Drosophila melanogaster: one gene and its partners. The protein of the gene in region 2 interacts with the protein of the main gene of each other region in a pairwise test. Each region holds a gene or a part of one and is shown on either strand. Other genes may lie near its edges. The genes, in order: CG11899, SelR and CG5968.

Region 1 (8,962 bases), about 18 Mb from region 2:
CCAACGGCGGCTGCCTGTCAATTAAAACATTAAAACGCGCTGAAAAATGCAGCGAACAGGCGCAAAGTAAACAAACTGCGGAACATGTTGCAGTGCGGACAGCATTTTCCAACATTTTCCAACATTTTCAGCGATTAGAAGCATAGAATTTCGCAATGGAGCACTTAGAGCAGCACCAGAGTTTCGGGCCCAGACCACCAAACCGAGCAAAGAAATCCGATTCGTCGACCAGGGGAGGGACTAATGTGTGACCCAGTTTGGATCACTGTGCAGGAAAGGAACTCTGTGTGTTTTGGCCATTTGCTTTTTGATCATTAAAAACTGGTTGGCCGCCGCCAGCTGAGCGCCCCACTACATTTGCGGTCAGCTTAATAGCACCGCTGCGGCCATAAATTAGTCAAAGAAAATCTATTGGGATGGCAGCTGGCATCTGTCAATGATTTATTCTTGACACATCATTCCGTGTTAGTTCTTTTAAGAATTAAAAACCAAATAAAATAATAGTAATGATTTACGGTTGGGTCTTAGTGCAATTGTTTAGTAAATAAAGTTATCAAAGGCTATTAATTACTATTTATCATAACAGTTGATCAACAGCAAAGAGTTCTGGAAGAAAAGCGTGGAATATTCGTTTATATTTTTGCATATTTTTGAATATTTTTTTAAACAGTACAAATAACTTTTTAGAAAAAGTTTTATCGTAGTCAAGAAAAAGATGATTTAGCGCACTGACTTCTCCAATAGCTGGCTTTCTTGGATAGCTAAACGCTCCTATTCAAACACCCCCGACTGTGGCTATCTGTCCACTTGAACCGCCCGCCCATGTCTTCGGCGGCAGCGTCGCTTGTGGCATTGCCGCTTGGGTTTATAAGCGGCCGGCGATGGCGGCGGCGAGCCGAGTTTCAGCGTCAGATTAGCCGAGAGCGCGCGCGTTTTTTCCCACGATCAGGAAAATCGAATTCCAGAGCCATGAAGGATCGATTCAAGTGGTTGTCGCTGGAGCTGCTCCTGCTGATAGGCGCCGCAGTCGCCTTTCCGGACGGCGCTCCGGCGGACACGTGCGTGAAGCAGCGGGCGAATCAGCCGAATCATGGCAAGGCCCGGAGTCAGCCGGCTCACTCGAATCCGTACGAGGTGGTGGCCGATGCGCAGACCTACCATCCCGGCCAGCAGATATCGGTGGTCATCTACCCGCACTCGGACCAGAGCACCGTCTTCCGGGGATTCTTCCTGCAGGCGCGTGATGCCAACTCGAACGAGTGGATCGGCGAGTGGGTGCAGAGCGAGAACACCAAGACCATTCCAGAGTGCTCGGCCATTACGCACTCGGACAACCGGGACAAGCTGGGCGCCAAGCTCATCTGGAAGGCACCGCAAAATAAGCGGGGACAAGTCTACTTCACGTAAGTTGGAAGTTATAGGAGGAGTGGGTTAATTATATAGCTCAAGCCAATGGAATTATTAGAAAGATCTAGAATCTATAATCGAACTAACTTTCAGTGTTAAGTAGTGCTCTTACAGTCACAGCAAACAACTTAAATGCATGCAGAAGTTTCACTACCAACTTAATAAAATAAATGACCGCTTAGCACCCATTTTTTCGGACAGTTTCAATGAAGCACTTTGTCAAAACTGGCTTCGTACAACGCAGTTCGTGTCTTCTATGGCCCATCACCCTCATAATAATCATCATTATCATCGGAGGCGACGGTGGAAGTAGCATAAGCCGTGGCAACATCATTGTGCCTCGTGAAGGGATTCATTAATCATACGCCACGTTGACCCACATAATGTAATGCGCGCATAATTGTCAGGCGGACAAAAACTTGCCGGATAATCGCACAAAAGGCATTATGTAATTGATTTATTTGGAAAGAGCACACCCCTCATCAATGGTCCACAAAAAAAGGCATCAAACGGCAAAGACGCCGCACAGTGACAAGCTCAAAAAAGCCAAAGAAAAGCTGTCAATGCTTTTTATGCAACTTTGTCAACTTTGTCGGCAGATAACACTGGCCAACATAGACAAGTGCCAACTGTGAATTAACCACACAAAACTTATTTTCCGGACACTTGTCTCATTTGTCATTCTACCAAAACCAAAATATGCAAATATGGGTATTAATCACAAACAGACAAGCAAAGTTTATGGACACATCTTGCACAAGATCTGAAATCAATCATCATAGTACACTAAGGGAATTAATGCACAGAATTATAAGCTATAAAATGTATTATTTTCTCCATAACCATTTGATTTGAAAGTACTGTAGTCCAGTGTCGTCTCACCTTAAAAATCATCTGCTAATATTGCCTAATCATTGTCTACTAACTATTTATAGACTTCCTTGCGAATAAATTAGAAAAAATCATGACTTGCGAGCAACCATAAGAATTAACATTTTCACTTTTCGCTGCAGGGGCACTGTGCTACAGGAGTACGGAACGTTTTGGAGCGACATTGTGAACAAAGTGCAGGCGGAGCGGCCATAACTGAAATTATGTACTTACTTTTAAGGCAGCCGGGCAATAAATCTTAAAAACCCTAATTAGTCAAAACGAAATTGTTGTTTGAGGATTTTTTTTCGACTGCCATTCACCATTCCGACGTCTTGGACGTCGGACGCCAAAGGCGCCCCATTGAGCTGTGCAATCAACATTACAGGGCAAAATTATTGGCTTTTTGGCTCAGCGCTTATGAATGACCAGCCCACATCCCAGCGCCCAACGAGGCGAACCAGTTCCCGTCGCCCACCACAGACAGCACCTTGCCACCCACATCCGCCCACATCCTCCCACCCACTCCACTCCAAGTCCGAAATGGAACGCACGAGCCGAGCACGTTTGGGTTTCCAGACACGTTGGCCAGCTTCTCATAGGAAATTCGTTTTGGGCGCCCCGGCAAATTGGAAACTCTAAGCACCTTTCAGGCTGGCTGTGCTATAAAGTAATTAGACGGCCAACGAATTTGACCAAGACATAGGCCAAGATAAGTATTCGTAGCATAGGTCTAAAGCACTTCTGATTGATTGCCCTTACAACAATAGGAAGCGGATAAGGATAAGGAATCGGTTTGCAGATATGACCAGGCGTGCAAAAGAGTTCGCGGAATTGCTAATCGGCAGACGGTTTGTTTTGCTTGAAATTTACTACCAATTATGGTAGCCAACTTACTTAAGCCTTAGTTAAATATATAATGCCTAATATTGGTTATACTCTACAGATAATTCAATAAAAAGCTATGAAATCATAAACTCACTGTCGCATGCATCGAAGCTCCACTGTACATTGCACTTACACATTTCGCTTGCAGCTTGTTTACTCGCCTGCGAACTCAGTCGCTCGCTTGTTATTGTCATTCCAGCGAAAAGTGCATGGCAACCCACGCTGGCTTGGGGGCGGGGCACACACACGATGAAGTGGGGGGGTTACTGGGAAGCACTTTGTTTTCGTGCGTTGCACATATGTACATATGTATGTATGTACGTACATATGTAATTATATACGTTAGCCGACTTGTTTTGATCGAATTCGCCGTACCGCCGCCTGCCTTTGTCTGGCTTTATGGACTCCACAGGAGCGCAGCCCAAAATGGGGGGCTTGGAGTCGAACACCCTCCCGGTGGAGAATCCGTCCCTGGAGCAACCGAGTTCGTTGTCCAGTCGGGCGAATTTGAGTCTGGTTTTCCGCACGCGTTTTGTTTACTGTCCGGTGACTTGTTGCTGTTCTCTGTGCCCGCCTTCGTCTCGTTTATCAGCGATTGCGAATACTCGCACGGACTGCTCAACACTTTAGTCAATATTTAGCCGCTTCCCGGAGAGGTTCATAGATCGCAGACGCACTACATAGTATCAGCATGGTTATCAACTTCGCCGCCGGTCCAGCCAAGTTGCCCGAAGAGGTCGGTGAAATGGGTGGCACCACTCCACACACGTGACGTGTAATAGTAACCTTGATTACATGGTTATCTCTATCTGCATATATAGGTACTGAAAGAGGTGCAGGAAAATCTTGTCAACTGCAATGGCAGCGGCATCTCGGTCATGGAGATGTCCCATCGCTCCAGCAACTATGCCAAGATCCATGATGCGACCATCAGCGATCTTCGCGAACTCCTCAATGTGCCCAGTAACTACAAGATTCTGCTGATGCAGGGCGGTGGCACCGGACAGTTCGCTGCAGTGGCTCTGAACTTGATTGGCAAGACTGGCACTGCTGATTATGTAATCACCGGCTCCTGGTCGGCCAAGGCGGCCAAGGAGGCGGCTCAGTACGGCACTGTGAACGCGGTGCTGCCCAAGTTGGCAAAGTATACAACTGTTCCACGACAGGAGACCTGGAAGCTGGACCCAAATGCCTCATATGTCTACTACTGCGACAATGAGACCGTAGAGGGCGTGGAGTTCGACTTTGTGCCCGAGGTTCCAGCCGGTGTGCCACTGGTGGCCGATATGTCCTCCAATTTTCTGTCGCGTCCCTTCGATGTCTCCAAGTTTGGCGTTATCTATGCGGGAGCCCAGAAGAATATCGGACCAGCGGGCACCACGGTGATCATTGTCAGGGACGATTTGATAGGCAAGCACTTGAAGATTACGCCCTCCATCCTCAACTTTGAGCAGATGGACAAGAACAACTCCCTGTTAAATACTCCGCCGACCTTTGGGTGAGCCCAGAATGATACATGGCTGGTGAATTCTTTGTTAAACTTTCCCCTTGCAGCATCTATGTGATGGGCCTGGTTTTCAAGTGGATCAAGCGGAACGGAGGAGTCGCTGGTATGGCCAAGCTGGCGGCAGCCAAGTCCAAGTTGATTTACGACACGATCAACCAGTCGAATGGTTTCTACTACTGCCCAGTGGATGTCAATGTGCGTTCGCGCATGAATGTGCCCTTCCGTATTGGCAGTGCCAGTGGAGATGATGCCCTGGAGAAGGAGTTCCTGAGCAAAGCCGAGGCCGAGGGCATGATTCAGTTGAAGGGTCATCGGTCGGTGGGCGGCATTCGAGCCTCCCTCTACAATGCTGTAACGCTGGCGGAGACCCAACAGTTGGCCAATCTGATGCTGGCCTTTTACAAGAACAATAAAAATTGAACAGGTTCATCTGTAATTTGTTGGTTTTTGATCGTTTACAAAAGGCCGCGTTGGCGGAAGATCTCGTCCAGCTTGAGCTCCAGGTTGGCGTTGGTTCCTCGCAGATTGTCCACCACCTTTTTGGCCCAAACGAAGTACTGATCACGACGCTCCTGGAATGAAAATATGTGATCCATAAGGTTCCGTTTTTCAAACCAAGATGGGCCCAAATACCTGTGTCCACCCTGTCGGTGTGTTGACTTGCAGATCCCTTAGGTTATCCAATTTGTCAGCCAGCTTTATGAGCTTTGCTCTGCAGCTGCTTTTGGCTGCATTTTCTATTTGCAGGCGTTTTCTCTCCTGTTTCTCCAGGGACTTGTCGTCCGTCACCTCCCTCACTAGTCCACAAACATCCGGTCCAAAGAGTTTCTCAACATCCTCGAAAGATGCGTCCGTATCCTCCACGACATCGTGCAGAAGTGCAGCCATTAGGACTCCCTCATCTGTGATGCAGGCCTCCACGGAGAGAATAGTGCTCACATTGATCACATGGTTCACATAGGGGGTTTCCTGAGGATCCTTGAAATGTAAAAAAGATAGTATTCATGTTTTAAATATATCATTTGTTGCGTTTTAATAAGCTTACCTTGCGACGTTGCTGCCGGTGCTTAAAAGCTGCATATTGGAGGCACTCCATGAATTTGGCAGATGGATATGTGGCCATTGTTGTAAGAAATAATTAAATGAACGGGCCTTTAGTTCAAATTTAAAGTCTAAACCTTATTTTTTGCATTTATTTACATTTTTAACATAACAGCTGACTTAACAGACCGGCAAGAATCTATAACAGAGCAATTGTTGGTGCTTTACAGCGCGGATGGTTAGGCCCTGGAAAACCTATCGATAAATAAAAAGCGCGGCATTCATTTAAATTCAAAAACCTTTATTTAAACAGTTCACCAAACTTAGTCCTTCTTCTCGTTCTGGTTCTCGCACTTGTTGCACTCCTGCTCCTTGGCCTTGCGCGCTGCTTTGGCGGCCTCCTCCGCCTCTCTTTTGGCCTGGGCCTCCAGTTCGGGAATGAAGAAGATCTTGCGAGACTTGAGCGTTGACCACTTAAAACGCTTGATGTAGTAGGAAATGCCAATCAAAAAGGTCGAAATCAGAGTAACTTTGATGAGCAGCAGGCGACGTTCGTCGGTCTCCGGTTCTGAAGTCCACTTGAGGAAGACGCACACATCCTTGGCAATTTGGGCGGCCGAAGCAGGCACATTTGGATCTTCAAAGGAGACCACCTCATTGTCAACTACCTTGCCCATGGCAATCGCTCCGCCCGAGAAGTACGGATTGAAGTACAGTCCATCACGAAGGGCAAAACCAGCCGGAGGATCACAGTATCCGGTGAGCAGGGAGAACACGTAATCCTCGCCGCCCTTGCGAGCCGACACAATATAGCTGAGATCCGGCGGATAGGAGCCATTGTTGGCGGAACGGGCCGCCTCCTCGTTGGCGTACGGAGAGGGGAAGTGATCGGACAGCTTGCCGGGACGCTCGTAGTACTCGCCCTCCTCGTTGGGCCCATCCCGCACCGTGATGGCCTCCGCCTCGGCCTTGGCCTCCGCCTCCGTCATGCACACTCCCACCAGGTTGCGATAGGCCATGTACTGCAATGAGTGGCAGGAGGAGCAGACCTCCTTGTAAACGGTGTAACCTCGACGCACGCTCTCCTTGTCCAAGGCGGACAAAAGCCCTTTGTGATTCCAGTGCTGGTGGGCCGGATGCACGCAGTCCGAGGAGGCATCCACGCTGGTTTCCAGGGCGTAGATCAGCAGCCCTGCTGTTCCGGTTAGGGCTCCCAGGGCTCCCAGCAGCTTGCGATTTCCAGTAAAGCCGCTTCCACGACCCGGAAAACTTATCCGCGGACGCACCGATGTCCGCTGGATGCCGCTCATGGCCAGCTGGAAAAGTTTGCTGTTCAGACTCCTGAATTTGTTGGCCATTTTCGGTCGGATTCAGCTTTATCTCTCAAAACGATTTATTTACAATGTCAACGCAACCAGTGTTGGAAAGCTCTGTCGACTGGGGTTGTCACCACTTGGGGAAATATGTTCTGTCGAAATGAAATCACGTGTGTTGCGGTAAGTTAATATTTTAATTATTATATATTAATTTAAATATAACACCATCACATGCAAAATTACGGATCAAGTGAATGGCTTAAATGCAGTAATAACAATATACATTATCAATTGAAAGATTAACACTTAGGAATCTATCTTTACTGTACTCACCTATGGCAAAATATTAGACTTCCTCCTTTGATGGCAAAAAATCGTCATTGCGAAGAAAATATGTAATTGTTTGGAAATATTGAAATGTGTAAAAGTATAAGCTTTTTCACAACAATTTTTTAATGACATTTCACACAAAGCCGGCAAGAGCAACCTTTACCTACTAATTAAGATACATATCGATCGAAATGCACTTAAAAGCTCTGCTAAACTATTTGGAAAACATCTAAGCCCCTCTCCCTTGTGTAAGCAGTATTAAAAAAGTTAGTTTCTGGAACTACAGAGAAGGCAGGATGCTTAGAAATCCCAGCACAGACTTTCTTCCACATCAAGCCCAGCTTAGCCAGATTCTTATCGGTGATCTTTCTCCATAAAGCATATGTAAACCAAAACCCACCCAAAGTGCTGTTATTCTTCACAGCTAAAAGGTTGAATCAACGTTTTTCTCTATTGTTGTAACGATCGCCTCCTTCTGGGTTTCTTTCCTGTCCAACCAGCGGAGCAACTTAAAAATACAAAAAAAAAAGCAAATGCCAGGGCACTTTCATTTGTTATCTGGCTCAGTAATCTGTAAATCGGTAACAGCCCACCAAACAACGGTGCATACAATATTTCCTAGCCATTCTTCACACTGTGTGACCACGAAATCGTCAAAGTCAGGCCCAAGCCAGCTTTTACAACAGCCAAGGAGTAGGGGCGTCGGCTTACCGCAATTTTAGGGGGGCTCAGAATGTGGGCAAGGTAGTAATGAAGCAACCAATAATTGTCATAAAGCTGCTTTACTACCCTTCAAATTAATCAGAACCCACTAAACTCCATTACAATGCTTGGATTGTAAGCTTAGAGGTGATAGTTCCATAAAGGGGAACCCCCTTTTCGACGCCTATGGCAACCAATAATGACAATGCACTGTCGACGTCGACAGAGCGATGTAAACTCTATTTTTTTTTTTTTGTTTTTGGTGAAAATTTGTACCTGATTTTATATTTCCCTTTTTTGTTACACTCTTTTTGTAGCTGTTGGTCTGGTTTTCTTGTTTTTTTTTTTTTCAGTTATTACGTATTTCCATGTTTACCATATTTTACACGCGCTTACAGGCACACAGATACAGATACTTCCACGGATACAGATGCAGATACATTTACCCCCGGATTTTCCCTATGTGCGTTTTTAGAGTTCTGCTTCTGCGCAGCGATGCATAATTCCCACTTTTGAAATTTGTGTGCGGTTGTTGTTGTTGTTGTTGTTTTCCTCTGCGGTGGTGGCTAAATGTTGTTGTTGTTGTTGTTCCCGTTGCCGCTGCGCAATTAATAATTCTTTTCGACTGGCGTGAAATTTTCATAAGCAAGAAAAAGCAGCAGCAACCGCACCAACTTTCCATGAAAATCTCCGGCCATTAGTAGCAATCGCAACGCTTTTCACCGTGGAAAACCGCAGAGATTGTGCTGCGACCCCATAGAAATGGGCTCACGTCATGAATTTTATTCAAATTACAAACTCATTAATAAATGGCGTTGTTTACATTTAAGTAGAAAACAAAGCGGGCATGATTGTCCAATTTCTAGATGATTATATACTATGGTTAGGAAAATCTATCACG
Region 2 (12,792 bases):
GTATAAGAGTAAAACTTTAGATGTGTTCGACTTTACTTGTGACTAAGAATGCGCTGACGTTTAAAAAACATACAGAGCAAACGAACACAAAGGAGTATAAATACTTTTTCCTAAGCCTAGGAGAGTATGAGAATACTATTGAAATACTATTATCGCGGGACATTAGAACTTAAATCTATCGAAAACACAAGAGATGGTATATAGGGAGCTATGGATTATTCTAGGAGTGGGATTCGGTTTGAAATTATTTGAGCACGGGCAGGACCAAAAAAGTCCGCCTCACATCCGCGAATTGTAATACGGGTCGTCTTCGCATGGCGGATATCCGTAGAGATACGGATGGTGGCATTGCACTCACGACCAGCGCGACTTCTGCAGGTCGATCTGTCCCTCCAGGGTCTTGGCCAAATAGATGACGAACAACTGCAGCAAGGCTATGCCCAGGGCAACGCCGGCAATCACATACAGATTCCTCTCGACCCATACTCGCACGATCTCGATGCAGCCGCTGGTCCAGATGCGCTTGCTGGCGGCGGCCACTGAACGCACCTGCACGCCATAGCCACACATGATGTTCACTAGGCCGGAGCTGATATCGGTGGCATTAATACAGCAGCTGTAGGGCACTCCACATCTCTCCACCGACGGCGATGAGCAGTTGAAGTACTCGTTCTTGCCTGTATGCATACGGACATGGAATTAATTCGTTTGTGGCTTATGAATCAAATACTCACTCCAATCCTGGTAGCCGGCGTTGCTCAGGCCGCAGCAGTTAAACTCCTGCTGGGCAAAGTCGATGAAGTTTTGCAAGTCGGAGTCGTCACGGTACGAGTGGATGATTTTGTCCGTGAACTGGTACTCGAGGAACGAGTTCATGTACTGCGGGAAAACGAAGCAGATGATGGCCAGCGACATCTCCAGTATGAAGAAGAGAAGCAGGCACATGGAGTACAGCTTTAGCAGCCAGGTGTTCTCGCGCAGCGCACCCAAACAGCCGGCGAAGCTGACCGTGAAGACGATGACTCCGGCGATGATCATCACCAGGGAGATGTTGAAGATCACATCGTAGATGGTGTCCAAGCGCAGCCAGCCATTGCCGTCCATCAGTTTGTCCATGAAGGCGTACACGCCGATGGCCAGGAGCAGGCCGCCGAAGAGCCAGAAGAGGAAGTTTAGCAGGAAGATCATGTACTTGACGCAAGAGGAAACGTAGCTGAAGTGGTGCGGATAGGTGGAGATCCGCGGGTGCATGTAGTTGCCCCCCTGATGGTATCTGTGATTGCTCATGGCCACGCGAATGTGCAAGTCGTGTTTTCAGCCGAGTATTTCGATGAGTATTACTTTTCCTGGTATTTTTGCCCAGGTTTCCTCCCCCACGGTTTTTTCTTTTTGTTGACGCCCTCTTTGCGTGTGGTCTCTTCAGCGGCCTGCACGGCTGTTTTGCTATAGTTTCGCAGTGCGTCAGTGGTGGACTGTCTAACTCTGGTGTTTCCCCGCAGCGAATATGATGAATTAACGCACTAGCTTAAATTTTATGACTGATAAGCAAATTTATGGAGCCACTAAAAATAACAAAGTGCCCGGCGTTGCCAGACGTGCTGTCCAATTAGGCAGCAGTTGGCAGCGCGGCCAGTCAGCTGTTCGCGTGACCGTACTGCCTTTGTTGCCTATCATCCAGCATTCGATTGGCAACGCGAGCCAGCCAGGTGTTTGATTTTCATCGCGTGCAGCTGTTTTCCCAAGCAGCTTTTTTTGTATTAGTTTTTAATTTTCCACCGCTGCGTAACATTGCGACGCACGCTTGTTTTCGCCCGCGTTTGGCGCATTCATAAACAAAAGGCCAAAAATAGAATCAGCACCATTTAGAGCGCTATTCAGCAGGTGAGTAGTTTTCCAGCTTAGAGAAAACCCAAGGACGCACCATTTAAGTGTGGGAAAATTAAGTGTTTTTTCTTTTCGGTTCTCCGCTGGTGACATTGAAGCACAATTGCGAGCGCATTTTCCCTAATTGAGTTGCGACTTTCTCTGCACTGCGCTTTCTCCTCGCCAAGCGTTCAAAAGCAGAAAAGCGCACGAAAATAGAACGGAAAATGTGGGAAATGTGGTAGACGGAAGTGGCAACGCGAATTGCATAAATATTAGTTAGTACGCGTGGGCAGTGCGCAGTGGACAAAACATTGACTTTTCCTCCTTGCTCTGCTCATTTTCCCCCTGTTGCTGTGCTGATTAAATAACCAGGCAGTGCCAAGTGCAGTTGTCACCTGAAATTAGCCACATAATGTTTGCACTTTCTGCTCGCCACGCACTGCGGCGCACTCGAATATTCGCCATTCCACGCTTTTTCGCAGGTGAGTTGCACTAAAAAGTCGCAGGTATAGTTTGTAATACCTGTGGGCGTGTCAGCCCATGCTCATCGATTGGCCATCGGCTAATTTTAGACACAATTTGAGTTGATTTTTTTATACATTTGCATTCTATATGAACGCAATTTAGCCGCTATTTTCTGACTTTGCTCGCAATGAATTCATTGTCTTCAATTGCCCGCGACACACTTGGCTGGCTTTTCTATTGTTGCACTCGGAAAAACCGAAAATAAAAGGTGACTGCTCCACCTACGCTATTCGATTTTCGGTTTTTTTTTCGGCTTTTCCTTCGCCTTCGTTTGCTTTGGGCGCCACTCCGTTTGATTGACGGCGGGCAAGCAGCATAAAAAGCCATAAAACTATTTTTGGCCCAATGCGTTTCTCCACTCCATTTGTTGGCCGCACTTAACAAATCTGTTTACACCTTCATTAATTAGCAGGCAAGTTTGTATACAAAATTGGTGTTACTAATTCCCTGGATGCACAACTTTGATTTTGAGTTTTCAAGATTGTTAACAAATTGTTTAAGAAAATGATAAGTATTTTCTATATTTTGTACGCTATATATAGCTTTTGTTTAATATTGGAATAAGAATATTTATGTATATATTTCCTTATCAAATTGGGTTCCAAAAATGCCAAAAATTTTCTTCATATAATTCATTTTCATAAATGGTATGGTATCGTTTGTATGAGAAAACAAGATGATTATGAGTTTCGAGAAAGTATTTTCAGCAACTCATGGCTGATAGTAGTAAGCTTCTTATCGTCAGATGGCCGCATTCAAATAAGCGAGTTGAGATTGCCCAAGGTTTCGTTGAAAGTCCCACCGATAAGTGGGCAGATTATGAGGGAAATCTTACAGAAGCTTGACGAAATCCCCTACTCAGTTTCCATTACCCAACTGCTGGCGAACCGAAAAGCACACTCAAACCGACCCGACCGCAAATCAAATACCAAAGTATTGTATTGCATTCCAGATTCACGCCAAGACAGCGACAATCCGGACAAAAGGTATTCCGGACCAGCAGCGACTATGGATAACAAGAGCGAGAAGGTTACGGTGAACAAGGAGGAGCTGCGCAAGCGCCTGACCCCGGTGCAGTATCAGGTTACCCAGGAGGCGGGCACCGAGCGACCCTTCACAGGTGAGTCTCTCCTAACAAAACATGCAGCCATAAGCCATTATCAAGATGGAACGCCACCCCTCGAACAAAGTGCATTCAATTCTGATTCCCAAATGATGGAATGCAATGTCCACAGGTTGCTACAACAAACACTACGAGAAGGGCGTGTACCAGTGCATCGTGTGCCACCAGGATCTGTTCAGCTCGGAGACCAAGTACGACTCGGGATGCGGATGGCCGGCCTTCAACGATGTCCTAGACAAGGGCAAGGTCACGCTGCACCGCGATGCCAGCATACCAGGTGCGTATTGGCCAGGCGGCCCACTTTTGGCCAAGACCTTGCTCGGCACTTTTAGCTGTTGATTATTGCAAAGCGTTTTGAGTTATGTTTTTATTTGAGTTGCTGTTCCGTTGCCGCACCCAAGAGTTGAGAATTTCATTTGCGTTTATCCACCTAGGAGACAATATAACCCAGACTAGAGTAATTATTCGCCTAGTTGTCATGTGTGAATAAGAGCAATCATAAGATTACCAAGTTTATAAAGAAGCCTTGATAACGATTAATTGTAGAGTTATATAAGCATATAAACATATACATATGTATATTTCATATTTTGGTATGACCTTCAGCTTGATTGTTTTCCATTTCTAAAGAAAATGGTGTGCATAAGTCATTGTAAAGAAATAAAATCATAAAGTGAGATGTTTATAAGAAGAGGCTTATTAGTTAATGGCTTAATTAAACCTTATAAACCCATTAGCTAATATTATTCATTTAAAGTCTGTGCTGTTTGTGTTGCCTTGTTTGTTGCTTTGTTTCGTGTTTAAAATCTGATCTTGAACCCGACCCCAAAACTGTTCCACTGCCCAGAGTTCACTGTAGTTGTGCCGTTGGCCTTGCCATTGTTGTGTTACTGTGTTTAGTCTTGTGCCGGTGATTTGTGACTAGTGAGTGTTCCTGCTGCCGTTGCAGCACCTGAATGTGCAACAAAGCGAGAAGAAGCGACTAAAATTGATTCCTAACCGAGTATTGTGTTCTCTTATCCCACTCTTCTATCCCGCCTGACTTTCTCAACATTTCTTTCTTTCTAAAAAAAAACCACATGAAATACAACTAATGCCATATCGATTCCACCCGAATATCACCCACGAGTATCACTTGTAAACCGATTAAACCAACAGTAGTCATTTCGAAAACGCTAGGCATGGTGCGCACCGAGGTGCGCTGCTCCCGATGCTCCGCCCATATGGGCCACGTCTTCGATGATGGACCGCCGCCCAAGCATCGACGCTTCTGCATCAATTCCGCGTCCATCGATTTCGTGAAGAGTGCGACGCCATCGAAGGCGGATCCATCGACGGCCTCGTCCAAGAAATAATGACCGATCTGCCTGCTAACCACAAGGAATACCATTACACCCGGAGGAGTAGCCCCATATAGACCAGCGGTAGATGCTACTCCGGGTCTATAGAGGGCTGCAGGTCCAGCAAAGAAAGATATTTAGCTATTTTATAGGCGTTTATTATGCAAAACTGTTTAACGAACAAAAAAAAACATAGCTTATACACAAGAACGATGTTTGAAAATGTATTGCGGAACGAGGAGTGAGAGTTTAGTATTGTAGTTCAGCCCAGCAGATTCCATTTGCTATATACTTTTCCTACTTTTACCCTATGTATGTTTCGGTTTCAAATCTCTATCTCTATATTATAACTTTATAAAGTTTACGAAAGTTTTATGAACGGAAATGCGAGTCTACAGTTCCTGGCCTGGGTTTATGCACTCTTTTCGGTTTACAATCTCACTCACTGTGTAGATGAACTCTACTTCTCAAAAGTATCTCCCCTTGCATTCTCATCGTATCTATAGGATATGTATATTGTACGTTAATAAAAATTAACCCATTTTGTAGGAACTTACGTGCTTAGCAAGAAGTTAAGTTTTGCGCAAGGTTATCATTTATTTTGGGATAAGACGAGGGTTCCTTTAGTTAGTTTATATGTTTTTCTTTTCGGTTAAGTGCAATTTTCATACATATTTCGGTTTTGAATCTACATAGATCATTGAGCTTTTTCCACATACCATATTTCGATCATTATACAAGGTCGATTGGATTTATTTTTGGGCCAGGGCCATTATGTGTATGTCTGTGTGAATGTGGTGCTTTTATTTTAAAATATTATTTTCCGGTGCTGTATTTGGTTATTTGTATGATTTCGATTTACGTTTTAGTTTGTTGCTTTTTACTCACGCTCAATTTTCTTTTGATTTCAATAACATAACCCGAATACTTTAACCAACATTATATCCATAAACTATATAGAGTGTTTTAAACAATCCAAATAATGTGTATTTTCGTATATTTTCTATTTCTCTTTTTTTAACTCGCTTCAAAAACAAAAAAAAAACTAAATGTACAACGCCTGTAAACGTTTTTTGGGGGTTTGTTTTGCTAACCAAAAACACGAAAACATTTAACTCATCGCTGAAATTATAACACCCGAAAAAACGACACATGAAATGCTTAATTAACCAAAATAACATGTACGCCAAATCGTTCGGAAAATCATCTATATTCCTGATTCGTCAATTATTTTCACCGGTTTATGTGACTTCATTTCATATTGTTTCACCTGCCACCCATTGTTAATTATCGCTCTCTCTCTCTCTCTCTCTGCTGCATCTCCTCCTTCGCTCTCTGATTTGCACTCCCATTTATTTGCCGTTATTTCTTCGCTCTTTTCTGTGATTCTTTCTCTGCTTCACATTTATCACCCATTTCACAATCAATTTTCTATTTCTGTTTGATTTGTTTACACCGAAAAACTTTGAATTAACCTTGCAAAACGATCAAAAAAATGAATATATTGTAAAAAATGTCAACAAAATGCGCTACACAACAAAAAAAAAAAACAACAATCAAAACGTATCCAATTAATCCCACGAAATGGCAAAATACAAACTAAATAGGGGGCAATATTTTACTACTAATCGCACATCCAGAACGTATACGCACTGAGGTCCGCTGCGCCCGCTGCAACGCCCACATGGGTCACGTCTTCGAGGATGGTCCGAAGCCGACCCGCAAGCGCTACTGCATCAATTCCGCCTCCATTGAGTTCGTGAACGCGGATCCCGCCACCTCGTCCCCGCCCGTGGCCACGCCCACCGCGGCGCCCATTGCCCAGCAGTGATGCCGAGGATCAACCGCCAAACGGAGGAGGCAAGCCTCAGAGTGTCGTTGCTGTTAAGAAATTTTTCTACGTGTACTTTCTAACTTTCCGCAAATGTGGCCAATTTTAGCTCGTAGTCAAGTCAATCGCCCCTCTGTTTGTGTAAATAGCTAATGTTTTGGTTCGAAATTTGTTCGTTAATTTATACAAACCCAAATACCGAATACTCTGTAACCCCACACATTCAACACAGTACTAATTTTAAAGTGAGCGCGCTAAATAAACGTGTGTTTTTTACAATAAAACGGTGCTTGCATGTGTTGTGTTTTTGCAGTTGTCACTATTAATTTGAACGTAGTTGTTAGTGCCGACCAGGTGAGAACGGAACAGCTGAGCCGCGTTGCCAACTACGTCAGTTGCCTTCCCTTGTTTGCGCAAAACAGATGCTGCGCCGCAGTTGTTGTTGACGTGACGTAACGACCGGCGACGCAACAACATGAAATCGAATTTATTTATGGCTCGGAAGTCAATTGATTTTAATTGCAGTCGCCGTATAAGGTGAATTTAAATGTTTATTAGCCCGAAGTGATGTGCTGGCGACAAATCGATAACAGCGAATGGGCCGAGTATGCGATCGTTTGATTTTGAAGTGCGACACGTGTGTAGGGTGACTGGAGAACTTTTAAACTGGACCACCCACCTGTGCGTTCCACATGCGATTGTTTGCTTGTGACTTTCAAACCGCATTGTAAATTCGCAATTATCTAACAGCGATTTCAGTGTAAATACAATTCGGGCACGTCGAAGTGATAATTTCGGATTCGCGTCGCGAAGAGATTAGATTTGAGCACCCGGCGACGACGACCATGGCCTGATACACCAGATTGCCCGTGAATCTAGGCAATATATTGAGCTTCACCTGTCCAGATGCAGAAAGGCCCAGCTAACGGCATCCCACTTCAGTGTTTCACGTAAGAGCTTGCGCCGCTGAATCTCGTTGCGTAGCGCACGTTACGTCAGTGACCGTTACGAAATTTCGAAAATGAAGGAGTGGCTGAAGATCTCCTGCCTCCTCTGTGTCTTTGGCTGCATCCGCGAGATCCGTCCGTCGGAGCCCTACGTCACGGAGTACCTGCTGGGTCCCTGGCGGAATATCACGGAGCAGCAGGTGAGTGGCATCTCCCACCATCTATCCATTCCATAGAATATCAAATTTCTTCCCATTCCAGCTAACGCACGATGTTTACCCAGTGGGAACCTATTCCTACCTGGTGCAGTTGGTCTTTGTATTTCTCATAACAGATTTTCTCAGGTAACTATTCGCTGAAAATTATTTATCTTTTAAATTAAGGATAAAATGTATTTTCTTAAATTAAACGTGGGACTGAGTTGCTATCAGCCAATTTGATATTTATATTTTATAACAAAAATTGTTCGTAATCAAATACGAAACCAGTCATTTTATTTGTAACCAGAAGGTGACCTACTCCAAAGTCAAACTTTTGCCTTCGCTAGCCAAAAATTTATTGTGATTCAGCAAATTGAATTCGATTTGATAGCTTTGCAATTAAAAGCTGTTCGAACGGAAACAGGCTTCATTTTATAATAACTATATGTATTATGTTTCAGATACAAGCCGCTGATCATCACAATTGGAGCTGCGGGTGTGATAATATGGAGCATGCTCATCTGGACCACCAGCTTGCTGTCGCTTCAGATCCTGGAGTTCTTCTTCGGCACTTACATGGCCGCAGAGGTGGCCTACTATACGTACATCTATGCCAAAGTGGACAAGAAATACTATGCCAGAGTGACCTCCCACACCCGAGCAGCCATGTTTGCAGGCAAACTGGTTTCCGGCATCACTTCCCAACTTATGCTCAATCTGGAGCTGATGAACTACAAGGAGCTTAACTATATAACGCTGGGCAGTACGTACAATAAATGACCTACAACTTGGGGCATTAATCATGCACATATATTCTACAGCTCAGATTATAGCCATGCTTTGGGCCTTTGGCCTGCCCCGCGTGGATAGGAGTCTTTACTTTCATCGGGAGCAGTTGTCCATTACGGAGCCGCAGACTCAGCTACCCGGGGTGGGAAACCTGGCTGAGATGGATCAGCAGCAGGAGAATACTCAGAAGCAGCCAGGAGCACTGAGCCTTCTTTGGCTACATTTTCGGAATGCATACACCAATCCGCGAGTCGTTCAGTGGAGTCTGTGGTACGCCATTGGACTGGCTGGTTACCTGCAGGTCACTTACTACGTTCAGGTTCTGTGGAAAGTGATCGAACCGGAGCCTGTTATTGCGTGGAACGGCGCCGTTGATGCTGTCCTGACAGCTCTGGCTGCTCTAAGTGCTTTGGCCGCTGGTTATCTGCACACCGGAAGGCTCAGACCGCGAGCATCTCTTCTGATCCTGGGCATTCTGTCCGCCGTGGAGGGCGGATGTGTGCTGATCTGTTGCTGGACACAGGACATCTACTGGTCGTATGCGGGCTTTGTGCTCTTCGGCGCCCTCTACGGCTTTACCATCACGGTGGCGAGGTAAGTCTTATGATATTCATAGGCACTCCATATATAGATGAATTTTAATTTTTTTGGCAGTGCTGAAGTGGCCAGAAATCTGGAGGAGGAAAGCTTCGGCCTTGTCTTTGGTGTGAACACCTTTGTGGCCCTCATTTTCCAGTCACTGTTAACCATAATCTTTGTCACGGACACTGGTTTTGAGCTCGATCCCGTTGGCCAGTACACGGCGTATGCATTCTATTTTATTGGCGTCGGCGTCTTGTATCTGATATCCGTGCTGATTGAGTACTTAATGTGCCGCAACAACGACGTCGAAAAGCTGGAAAATTCACTGGATTGAGTTCCGAGGCATTTAGATAGTACTTAAGGTGAAAACACAACACGTTACTTAAAGAAAGACTGGTTCCTGTGCGTGAACTACCATAATATGGTATTCGTGCGATGGTCGATTGTATTCCCAGAATATTTAGGTCATCTTTTTATTACCAATCTGTTGGCGATTCTTAGTATTTAGTAGAAATTTCCATTTATAGAGCGCGTGTAATCAGTCTCAAGTGTGCAGGAATAAAGATACCGAGTTTTAGTATAGAATAATTGTGTGTTTTATTAATATTATCTTACGATTATTACGTTTAATTTATAGAGCAAAGTAATCGAAGTAAAAAGCAAGCGTTTAAGTTTAAATACATATTATTAATCATGTAGTCTAGATCCGAATATGACAACAATCGTTATAGATTTCAATTATTTTGTTGATACTATTACCCGGAACAATTTCTTTTGCACTTTTAAAGCGGCTATCGCTGATTATTAACTTATCAGTGTTGATATTTTGCATTAATAGATTACAGAAACATTAATAAACAAGTGTGTAAGGCTCTCTGAGAAATTCAGTGCAAGATAGATCCATTTAAGTGCCCTGCTAATGGGCTAATTAGCTGCTAATGGCTGGTATGGCCAACTTGGAGTGGGAACCGCATCAGGCGAGAGCAAGTTAATCGCGATCGTGACCATGCTGCTCGCTGTAAGCGGAAACTTCCCGGATATTCCATTACCTCACTGCTCCGCTGGCCTGCACCAAATCGGAGAACACTTGGATCGTAAATCGCGAATGGGCCAGCGCTGATTACAAGCGTCGAAGGTAAATCTCTATACTCGGCACTAGCCTGCTAACCCCTTGGAAGAATGTGCAATTATTATAATAGCTGGTCGAAGCTACACGCTGCCAGACATATATCTATATGTATGTACATATAGTCGGTGGGATCGCTGGTTGGCGTTAAGATCGCGATTAGATTCAAGCCGACAGCCGTAACGGGATGGAGTCGTGGCTGAAGATATCGTGCCTGCTATGCATATTCGGGTTTCTCCGGGAACTTCGACCCTCGGAGCCATACCACGCGGAAATCCTGATGGGCGAGTGGTATCACGTCACCCAGGACGAGGTCAACCGATCCGTTTACCCGGTGGGCACATACTCCTACCTGGCGCTCCTAATCTTCGTCTTCCTCATTACGGACCTGCTCAGGTATACAGCCCATGCATGAATGCAATCTTTATTGGCCAGCAATAACCCTCCGTTTGCGTTGCAGATACAAGCCCGTGATCATCGCCAATGCCACTACAGGCATCTGCATCTGGGGCACACTGATTTGGACGACCACTTTGAGCGGCCTGCAGGCGGTGGAGGTTTTCTATGGCTTCTACCAGGCGGGCGAGGTGGCCTACTACTCGTACATCTACGCCAAGGTGGACAAACAGTACTATCCCAGGGTGACCTCGCACACCAGGGCAGCCATGTTCGTGGGCAAGCTAGTTGCGGGAATCCTGGCTCAGATGGTCATTGGAATGAGGTGGATGAACTACAAGCAACTGTTTTACATCACCGTCACCTGTTGGTTACCAGTTAGCAAAGTGATTCAATAGCCAGTTAACCAATGTTCCCACTTTCCCACAGCTCAAGTTGCTGCGCTGCTCTGGGCATTCTTTTTGCCAAAGGTGGAGAAGAGTTTGTACTTTCACAATCGAAGCGAGGCCATAGAAGGTGGAACCAAATCGGATGGTGGTAACCTGGAGAAGGGTTCAGAGCAACCCAGTAACGAGGAAGCGAGCCAAGAAAAGAAGATACCAGCGTTGCAGCTCCTTTGGTCCCACTTCCGTAGTGCCTACACTAATCCCTTGGTGATACAATGGAGCTTGTGGTATGCCATCAGTTTGGCTGGATTTCTGCAAATCACCACCTATATGCAGGTGGTATGGAAGTCCTTCGAGAACGAACCAACAGTGAGTGAGTTTCAATAATCAATGGCTTTCTCATCCTTGAGATTTCCCCTGAAGATAGCCTGGAATGGAGCTGTGGACGTGGCCCTGACGCTTCTAAGCGCTGTGTTCGCCCTTCTCGCCGGTTATTTCCATGCTGGACGTCTGAACACCAGGAGCAGCCTGCTCTCGATGGCTCTGCTGTCGGTCCTGGAAGGAGGTTGTGTTTTGCTTTCCTGCTGGACCGATGATATATATCTGTCCTATCTTGGCTATGTGCTGTATGGAGGCCTGTTTGCCTTCACCATAACAGTGGCCAGGTAAGCAGTTCTTGATCCTTTTCCAACAGGTGAAATTTACCAAATCTCGTAATACCTTATAGCTCGGAGTTGGCCAGCAGCTTGGAGGAGGATAGCTTCGCTCTGGTGTTTGGTTTCAACACGTTCGTGGGACTCCTCCTGCAGTGCATCCTCACATTTGTCGTCGTCTCGGAAAAGGCCAATCTGAATTTGAATGTTTTTCAACAGTTTTCCGTCTACGCATTCTATTTTATAGTTATTGGAATAGTCTATTCTATTGCTGTTATATTGCAATATATATGGTCAATTTCGAAGAAACCAAAAGCAATTCAGGAGGCGAATTAACAACATACTCTAATGATGAAAAAGTGTTCATTTATCAAATAAAATTGTTATACATATTTAAAGTTTGTTTAATAAAATAATAATTGGCTTGTATTCTGAAACATTATTACTTTTAAGAAATATTTCCCAAGCTGTTGAAACATCGTTGATATTATATTGTTTTACACTTTATTAAAATGTATATGTTTTTTTATAGTTATAGTTTCAAAAAATGAAGATATTTAATCCTACGCCGCGAATCTAATCAGAGTGTACCATGTACATTATATGGCCACTACAAACTTAATAATATGTCAAATTAAACAAGATCATGAACGTCGTTATTTTCAATACAACATTCAAGAATCAGGGTGCGATTGGAATCCACAGCTTGGCTAGCAGAACTCGGTCTGATCCCCGCCGTTGCGGAGGACCGCTGAGACCCGCCACGTCATCGACTCGTAGAGCATCTCAATTTTGTCCACCATGTCCTGGTCGCTGTGCCAGACGTCGTACAAGACGGCTCGAAACTCGCTGACATTTTTGGGCGCCTGATTCTGAATCCTCGGCTGGATGATGGCCATCAATTGCTCGAGGAGATTGAGGTCATTGCAGACACTGCCCTCCGGTCCCATCAGCGAGTCAAGGAAGATCTCCTTTGGCGGCGTTGATTCGTCGACGAATTTAAGATCGTCCATGTTGAAGATGTTGCG
Region 3 (8,363 bases), on a different chromosome or scaffold from region 2:
TTGAAGAGAATACAATTGCTGTTTAAAGTGGCATACTTTTGGGCATCGCCAAGCGAGTGTAGGAGCCCACTTAATGCTGGTTAAGCTAGAAAAGAGGCTTATGCCCAATCAAAATGTCTTAAACAGTACAGTATATGTTGTTGATATTTAGACTGCTCCAGCCGGGCTTGGCTTTAATTCTTGTGAATTAACCATATGCAAATCACATTTCGCAACAGCTGTCTGTCGTCTGCTTTGCTGTGGAAAACAAGTCAATTAAAATTGCCAATCTATGGGTATAAAATTTCCAATTGGCCAAGAAGGCACGTCCCAGACATAAAACAAAATTACAAAGCCCACAAAACAAGGATGGCACACACACACACATGGACAATAAACAAATTGCAATTAGTTGATATATGAGATACCAGATACGTACGTACGTATGTACGACTATGTATCTGGCACATACATAGGTGGAGCAGGTCACAGTTTATTGCCCGTATTCAGGGAGCTGCAAAATGCAACTCATATTTTACCAAGGCCAAAAATGTCTCGCTGCCTGCTCATAAAACATTTTACTTGGAAAAACCCAAACTGACACTGATGCTGACACTTTCACACAACTCATCTGTACCCCCCCCCCCAGTTCCCCAACCACCATGCCCCACCATTGTGCATATAATTTGTCACTTGCATGGTCTTCATACACAGAGAACATGATCTGCAGACAGACCACCAGAGAACACGAGGCACGCAAAGAAATTTCATGGAGCTCATTGAAACAATTACCGTTAAAGCTGGCATCACTAAACAAGACATACATAATACAAAAAGTTGAAAAAAAAATTCTTTTGATATGTCTGAAATGCCTATTCGATTAAACAGTTTGTCAAATGTAAGCGTTTATAAATTTTTTATTAAGTTTTAAATCAATTTTTAAATATATATAACATTTATATCCAGACATGCTACTGGGCCTTAGTTTTAAAGATTATTAAGTTATGTTAATATGAAAATATGCTAAATTCGTTCGATATAATTAGGCTTCGCCAGTATTTTTCTTTTTTTTTGGTGGTGTAAGTTCACAATGAGGAAAAATAAGGGTTGGGGTTGCCGGGCAGGTCATCCTTTCGAATAAAACACAGCAAGTATAACTGTCAGGCTGCAGAGGCTGCCGTTTATCACACATGTACACACACTACTCGCATGTACACTCACCTATGGGTCGCACTGTGTGCTTATAGGTTGACTCTGCATAAATGTCAAAGAAGATGCGAATGTGTGTGTGTGTGTGTTTGCCCGTTTGGTATAGAAGATTTCAGTTCAATTAAGCGTATTTGGCTAACAAATTAAACTTGAAGCAATTCAGTGAGTCAAGAGAAACCATTGACATAAAGGCAATGGGTTTTCAAATCGACATATATATGTCAAATTTTTAGTATTGATGTTTTTTTAGTTTTCAGGTTATCTATTTCATACGTATTTTATTTAAAGTGCTTTACCTAAACCTTAATAAATGCTTGCATTCTATCCATTCTGAGCCGTAAATATGCCTGAATTTCCTGTCCAATAAAATCCGTTGCAGCATTGTTCACAATTCAGCTTTTCTCATTTGCCATAAATAATAAGTGAAAAGCGTGTCATTCTAAACACGCCTTCTGCTTTCACCTACCGACTTCATAAAATACCTCGTTCGTGTTTTATGGCTGTGCACAGTGACAAGTGTTAAAATAACATTTGTACTGCATTTTAAATGGCATTTTGAGAAAAGAATTTCCGTGCGCAAGTGTGTTGCCATTTTGAAATTCTTTTATTTCTAGTGTGCAAAACGTTGGGGCAAAACAATCAACAAACGAATTTCCTGGTAGTCCGGTGTTTGTATTTCATTTTTGGGCTAGAGTCAAAAGGCTACATTTAACCGAGGAAAACATCAAACATTTTAAATAAATGTTCGCTCTGGGCGGAGAGCTGTTGTCCCTGATTTTTCAACGCTTCTATTTTTAGGTCTATACGAAACGGAAATCAAATAGAATTTAACCCACCTACAAAAACCATTCCTGCATACACACACAGATACATTTACGGCAAACAGACAAAGAAAAAACAGAAATCATAGCATACTTTAATGTGCTTTAGGGCCAGCAAAGTGAAGGGCAAAAAATGTATAAGAACTTATTGTAAATCACCGGATTGTTGAATTTTTATTTACATTGAAATTTACGTTTTAATTAATATGCAAACATGCACATAAAATTTGCGTTGGAAATATTCGTTATTGATTTTAAGATCCTATTGTTCTTTTTCCATGAATCGTTTATTTTATTATTAAAATAGAACGTAAAGAAGGAGCTCATACAACAATATTGAACAATTATTAATTTTATTGGCTTCTTTTCGGTCTTTTTCAGTTTCTGAGCGTACATTTTCCCATTTAAAAGTTATTTAATTACTTTACATTGGAAACATTTTAATATTTTAATGTTTAATTCAATTTAAAATGAATATTTCTGTATAAAATTGCCAAATAATATCACAAATTTTTCTTAAGCCTTTAAAGTTAAGATGTACAAATACTTAAAAAAGAGTACAATATATATATGTACGTAAAAGAGCATCGGAGAAACGATATATTTCTAGCTGTCACATTCGTTTTAACCATTTTTTTTATTGACTTTCAAACGTTCGGTTCAGTGGCAGCCATATGGCAAACTCTGACACTTTTTGATTAAATTACCGTTGACTGTCAATATCAAGAGTAAACGGCACTGCTTTCCAACTGTCCTTGGCAGCACTGGAACTGGCGTAGTTTTTGTACTTAATAGGCATTAATAACATTTTAACTTTGTTTAGTGCTTTTTGTTCGCCTTTTCATCGATTTCGCCATTGCCTGAAGTTGAAGATGACTGAGCATTGACATCTTTGTTAGTCAGTTGACTTTGACAGCTGTTGAGGCTTTAATTGCCACTATAAAAATGATTGATAACGAAAACTTTGGCGTGCGTATAAACATCCTTTATTGTTTTCTTTGCATTCGCTTTTTTGTGCCGTTTTTTTTTTTTCTTTTTTGCACAACCCAGTTTAATTAAACCTCCATATGGTATATATTCTGGGCTCGATTACCAAAGTGTGGGCGGTCAGGGATTCTATATTTAGACCACGCTGATTAGAAACAGCAGTGGCGAAAAACGTCAGCAGAAAGGCGTCCCTGATGTAAATATCAGAAGCCAATATTGGAGAACAGAGAGCGGCAAAGTTTGCTCAATTCTTTTACCACTCCTGTTGTTGTGAGTCGGGGATTATTGATAGATATGGCTAAATCCGCTTATATTGGCCAGCTTCTGCAAGGCTGATAGATAAGCGCTTGACGTCGGCCAGTCTACGTAAGTCTTGTTACCAACTGGATGGCGGTCCAAACTTGGCCAAGGATTCAAATGCCAGCGAACAGAGTACAATCAAGGTACAGGTATTTTTCTATCAATATGTACTATTCTCTTTTAATTAATAGATTTCTTTAAAATAATTGTGTTATTTAAAAGTGTAGGATTTTGTAATATTTAAATTAAAGCATGCTGAGAACTTGGTTGTCACTGAAATCTGACTAACAGCTGGCCAGTTGTATTTTGTGTTTTGCACGTAACTCTCAGTTCTTAGAACCGATTTTAGTGATAGCACACGTTTATACAGAATTACACAAATATCGAAAAAAATGCCCAACTTTAATGGGGCTATTATAGTGCACACACTTCAGTTGTTGAAAGCGCCGGCGACACTGCGAGAAATAGTGGTAACCATAGCCAAAAATACGGAATTATCGCAAGATGAGCTTAAAGAGCCTGTGAAACAAACCCTTGAAATGGGCCATCGCTTGGGATTCCTGCAGAAACTCGACGGTGAGATACTTAAACTTATTTTTATACCACACCTTAAAAAAAGGTAAATTCAAAAGGTCGCTACTTTTTGATGAATGTGACCTTCGAGACATTGATGTCTGAGATGGAGGCCCTTGACAAAGAAGAATCTCCGGAGAAGTCACTTAAAAAGAAAAAGAAATTAATACCCAAGACTCCTTTATCGTCGGTCGCTGAGAAAAAAATTAATAAGAAGCCAAGTCAAGTCAAGACAACGGAACAGTTGGTAAAGTCAAAACCAACTGAAAAGGGCCGACTGCAGGACATTCCTAGTTCATCCACAAACATAAGAAAAACGCCATCCAAGCTGATTAAGCGAACAGTTTTTAAGTAAGCCACGCAAAAGGATATTCGAACTTGTCAAAAAAAAAAAAAAAAAAAAAAAAACATCCAAGAAACCAATGCTACATATATTTGTTACAGGATAAATTTCTTGTCCGTTCTATTATAATATTTGGCCCAAAATAGGAAAAGATATTAAAATCTTATAAAATTTCATTAAAGCGTTTTTAAATCTAAATATTTAAAATAGGTCCATTGGGTATAATCGATTAAAATACGAAATTGCTGTCGGGAATAAGTCCTTACTTTCCGTCTCCTAATTCCCGTGGCCAATGAGAGGGTGCCTTTGAGAAATGGTGGCTCATTTGCGCAAACTGACAAATGTCTCAATTAGCGGAGGACGAATCCTCAAATGCAAGGGCGGTGGGGAGTATACATATATTCGGGAAAGTGGGTGGCAGCGAGGCGCCCGACAATGTCGCGACGCTTCCTATTCAATTTGAAAACCAAATGAAGCGTTGCCTCCGCCAAGGAGCAATTTACTCAGTGCATTGAATTGACCATATGGTTGGACACCCACCGAAGTCACCCACACGCCATCCGCACCACCGCCCCTCGAGGCATTTAGAATGGCCAACCCACCAGTTACAGGATCCCTTAAATTTTCGTAAAAAGCTTTAATGCACTCAAACAAGTTCTACACCATATTGTACTGTAAAAGATTTCAAAAAAGTAACTTTTTTTAAATCACTGTATACTTCATATGGAATATTTTTAGAGATTAAAATATTTATTTCTTTTTTTTTTATTTATTAGAAATCAAGTTCTAAATATACTATTTTATTTTTGTCATTAATTATTGTTGGAAATAAAGATGTATGAATAAAATATTTATTTTAAATAAACTTATGAATTTCGAATGCAAATCCATTTTTTCCGGTGCAATTGTAGGGTTTTTTATATAGTTACTCGCGCTGCTTTGCTTTGACCTTTGCGATGACGTCGGACCGGCGTCGGCTACCTCAAAGAGAGAGCAATGTAAACAGAGAAAGAGAAAGGCAGAGAAAGCAAGAGAGAGAACCAGTGGGGGAGAGAGCCTGGTGAATAAACAGCATGGTGAGAAGCGGTTCCTACGCGAAGAGTGCAACAAATGTTTGGTGGACAACTTCGGGCCAACAAGGTAAATGTTAAGGCATACACGATGGCTGAGTGGGTGAGCTTGTCGTTGGGTGGTTTTAGCGGGCGGTGGGTTAGTTGGGCGGGCTGCTTAGTGGGGTGGTTGCTTTTCGGCCCGTGACGCGTGGGCAGCGACAAAAGCGGGTGAAGCTATGTCTTGCCCTTTTTTTCGGCATACTGGCATACATAGCACGGCGAATTATTTGTGTGTGCCGATGTGCGGATATACAAATGTGTGCCTTTATAAGTGTGCTTTTATCAGGGTGCGTCAATCTAAGCCAAGTTCTGAATTTACGAAAGTCTTGAAATGCCAAGTATATTCTTATAAAGGTTTAAGCGCTAAAAGGAAATCAACAGTCCGCAAAAATAGCTGATCTTAATATTTCTTCTATTAAAAAAAAAGCACTTAATTTTAGTTCAGATCTTTACTTAGTTTAAGTCCTATATGCATGAACAAGTTTAATCAATATTGAAGTTTTTTATATTTAGCTTCGAACAAATTGCTCCACCCTAATGCTCCTGTATCCTTGTTCGCGATGAGCGTATACCCAGACAACGAAATGTCACAGCAGCCTACTTATGCTTTTTTCGCATCGCGTTTTATCCCCAAATGTGTGTGCGATTTTTGGTTCAGCTTTTTGGCATATGGTCGCCGTGCCGGAAAAGTGGGAAACCGGTAAGGGGGCTGCTTTCCCATTTGCAGTTTGGCTGAAAAGCTGTTTCGCTTATTTCCCTCTTTTTTAGTCAACCGTTTCTAGATAAATATTTTGCAACACCGCATCGCATTTCCATGATTAGCAGATAAACATATGCCAAGTTGCAAACTTGGCGTGTGTGTTCGGAGTGTAGAAGTTTAGAGAATCCCTGGGTAGTGGGCGGTTATACACGCGACTTTAATTGAGCTTTCAAGAGGACTAAGTTAAACATACAAATGTTTGCTTAGGATGCAACAGCTGTTGGCTGTGAGTTAAAAATTGTTCGAAAAAAACCTCTTTGGAGAAGTGGAATATCTTAAAATATTTAAATTTAAAATTTGATTTAAAACAATAAATGACGTAAGGTTTTTAAATTATAGTATAAAAATACTAGATTAATCGAAAATTAATGAAGTTTTGTATACCGCATTGAAACTGTGTATCTAAAGCTTTTAACTATTTAATGCCCAAAATTGCCTAATAGCGGTTCAGTTTAAAATAAAAAAAAATTTAATTACCCGTTATTATCACAAAATATATTCCTCACTAACTAAAATCCTTTTATCTTTAACCCCACACCCATTGTCATTCCATTTGGTTGGAATGTAACGCCTGCCCTTAATTCAATTAACTTTAATGAACCAAATTATAATTGCAAATAAATTATCTTATTAAAGACGCAGAAAGTTCGCACTCTTGCCTTTTAGTAGCACTAAAACTCTGAAAACGGCGTCAAGGCCAATTAGAAAACTTTGTCCAAACATCTCACTACCAAGAAGGACGAAACTGAAACTTATCTTTTGGATCAGCAAGAGCCCATTTTCACCCAAAAAAACCCCGTGTGTCTGGGCGACAATCTAGCATATGCCAAAGTAAAAAGCTCACCAAAGTCAAACTCGATTAAAAATGCATAAATGCAATTAAACGCAAATGGAAATCGAACCAAACTCGCAAAAGCTTCAAGCGAAAACGCCTCGAGGTGGAAAAGCCAAAGAGATACACTTTCCAAGAATTCCACTTTTTTCACAGACATTTGTTTTTAAGCCTAGAAGTTTAAAAGTATTAATGGATTTGCAACACATACAACATTAAATACAAGTGATTATATAATAATTTTATAATTATATAATTAAATTTTTTATTTAAATTAATTTTTACTCAGAAACATTTGATAGTACGGTATATACCCATAATTTTATTCAGTGTATGAAAGCAAAAAATGTAAAAGATATATGTAAAGAGGCAGTGGGCGGTGGGAGGAGGCCAGATATCCAAAAGACGCGACAAGTGTCGGCCGAGCTTTGTTTGGCGCAAAGAGAGCAGCGCACTTCGAAGAGCAAAAAGCGCGAAGCCAAAAATCCAAAGACGACCATAGATAGTAAATTGCAAAGTTTATGCCGCCAAGTTCATGAAATTGTAATAGCTTCATACCACGGTTATGCTTCACCAAAGTGGTCATACAATTAAAAAAATTACGTACACCTAACTTTAATCCATTAAACTCGTACATTTATAATTATAATTTCTGATTTGGCGGAATTAATGAACTAAGTACATCGTGCATTCATTTTGCTATTGGGTCCACGCATGAGCTTTGTAACAGTAAAAGAAGCCCTGACCATGCAGTTGCGTCAATGGGTGCGAGGGAGAAGGGTGAGTGTGGGAGCAGGAGGTGGGCTTGGGTATTAGAGAGAGAGAGAGTGGGAGAGCGCGAGAGGCACTGGTTGAGTTGGTTTTGCTGACTGCACTTGTTTTGCCATCGTAGTTATTGTTTTTGTTGCTTGCAACGTTTTGCTGCCACTTGGCCGCAAAGGCAACAAAAACAAACACACACTAATACACGTGCGCGTTATTGCCAATTCACCCACATACACACAAACAACAGTTAGCCGCCGCTTGTGTGTGTGTGTACGCTAACATATTGAACGCATTTTTTCATATTTCTCAATGGAAAAGCCAACTCTAAACACCGTTAATATCATCCATATTAGTTAGTTGTCATTTGTGAGAGAAGAAAATGTGAAAAACATGTAAATTGCTGGGCAAAATAATGCAACATATGCTAGCACCACACTCTGATATTATCAACTTACTTTGCAAGTATTTGCCTTTGAATTTGGATTTGATTTTGCTTTTGTTTTCTATTTATTTATTTGTTGCTTTTTGGTTTTATTTCTTGCTGCACTCACTAACACAGAAACACACACGTACGCGCTAAACACGAAAAGCAGCCAATATATTTTATTCGTTTTGATTTTCACTGCTTGGAAATTTTCGCATTTCCATTTTCGAAATGCGTAACAACAAGTATTCTGTGGTT

What was found.
Region 1: the proteins of SelR (region 2) and CG11899 interact in a two-hybrid assay, tested with the Drosophila melanogaster proteins (one large-scale study listed by BioGRID).
Region 3: the proteins of SelR (region 2) and CG5968 interact in a two-hybrid assay, tested with the Drosophila melanogaster proteins (one large-scale study listed by BioGRID).

What each region holds. Positions count from the first base shown.
Region 1 is NT_033777.3:29,196,665-29,205,626, forward strand, and holds CG11899 (uncharacterized protein), read left to right. Parts: upstream 1-3,789; 5' UTR 3,790-3,856; coding exon 3,857-3,901; intron 3,902-3,986; coding exon 3,987-4,663; intron 4,664-4,719; coding exon 4,720-5,092; 3' UTR 5,093-5,106; downstream 5,107-8,962. Other genes in the region: CG14515 (uncharacterized protein), read left to right, coding at 970-1,403, 2,421-2,493; Mesh1 (metazoan SpoT homolog-1), read right to left, coding at 5,128-5,244, 5,306-5,650, 5,718-5,795; Cyt-c1L (cytochrome c1-like), read right to left, coding at 6,037-7,071. UniProt on the Drosophila melanogaster protein: Catalyzes the reversible conversion of 3-phosphohydroxypyruvate to phosphoserine and of 3-hydroxy-2-oxo-4-phosphonooxybutanoate to phosphohydroxythreonine.
Region 2 is NT_033777.3:10,857,528-10,870,319, reverse strand, and holds SelR (selenoprotein R), read left to right. Parts: upstream 1-2,029; 5' UTR 2,030-2,278; coding exon 2,279-2,348; intron 2,349-3,343; coding exon 3,344-3,511; intron 3,512-3,626; coding exon 3,627-3,791; intron 3,792-4,672; coding exon of another isoform or gene 4,673-4,869; exon of another isoform or gene 4,870-6,433; intron 6,434-6,461; coding exon 6,462-6,685; 3' UTR 6,686-6,965; downstream 6,966-12,792. Other genes in the region: Tsp86D (tetraspanin 86D), read right to left, coding at 355-677, 735-1,287; CG6574 (uncharacterized protein), read left to right, coding at 7,707-7,832, 7,894-7,976, 8,294-8,595, 8,654-9,215, 9,276-9,537; CG14694 (uncharacterized protein), read left to right, coding at 10,517-10,725, 10,790-11,091, 11,155-11,480, 11,535-11,776, 11,839-12,100; CG4570 (uncharacterized protein), read right to left, coding at 12,475-12,792. UniProt on the Drosophila melanogaster protein: Methionine-sulfoxide reductase that specifically reduces methionine (R)-sulfoxide back to methionine.
Region 3 is NT_033779.5:16,545,212-16,553,574, reverse strand, and holds CG5968 (uncharacterized protein), read left to right. Parts: upstream 1-3,615; 5' UTR 3,616-3,688; coding exon 3,689-3,872; intron 3,873-3,928; coding exon 3,929-4,224; 3' UTR 4,225-4,394; downstream 4,395-8,363.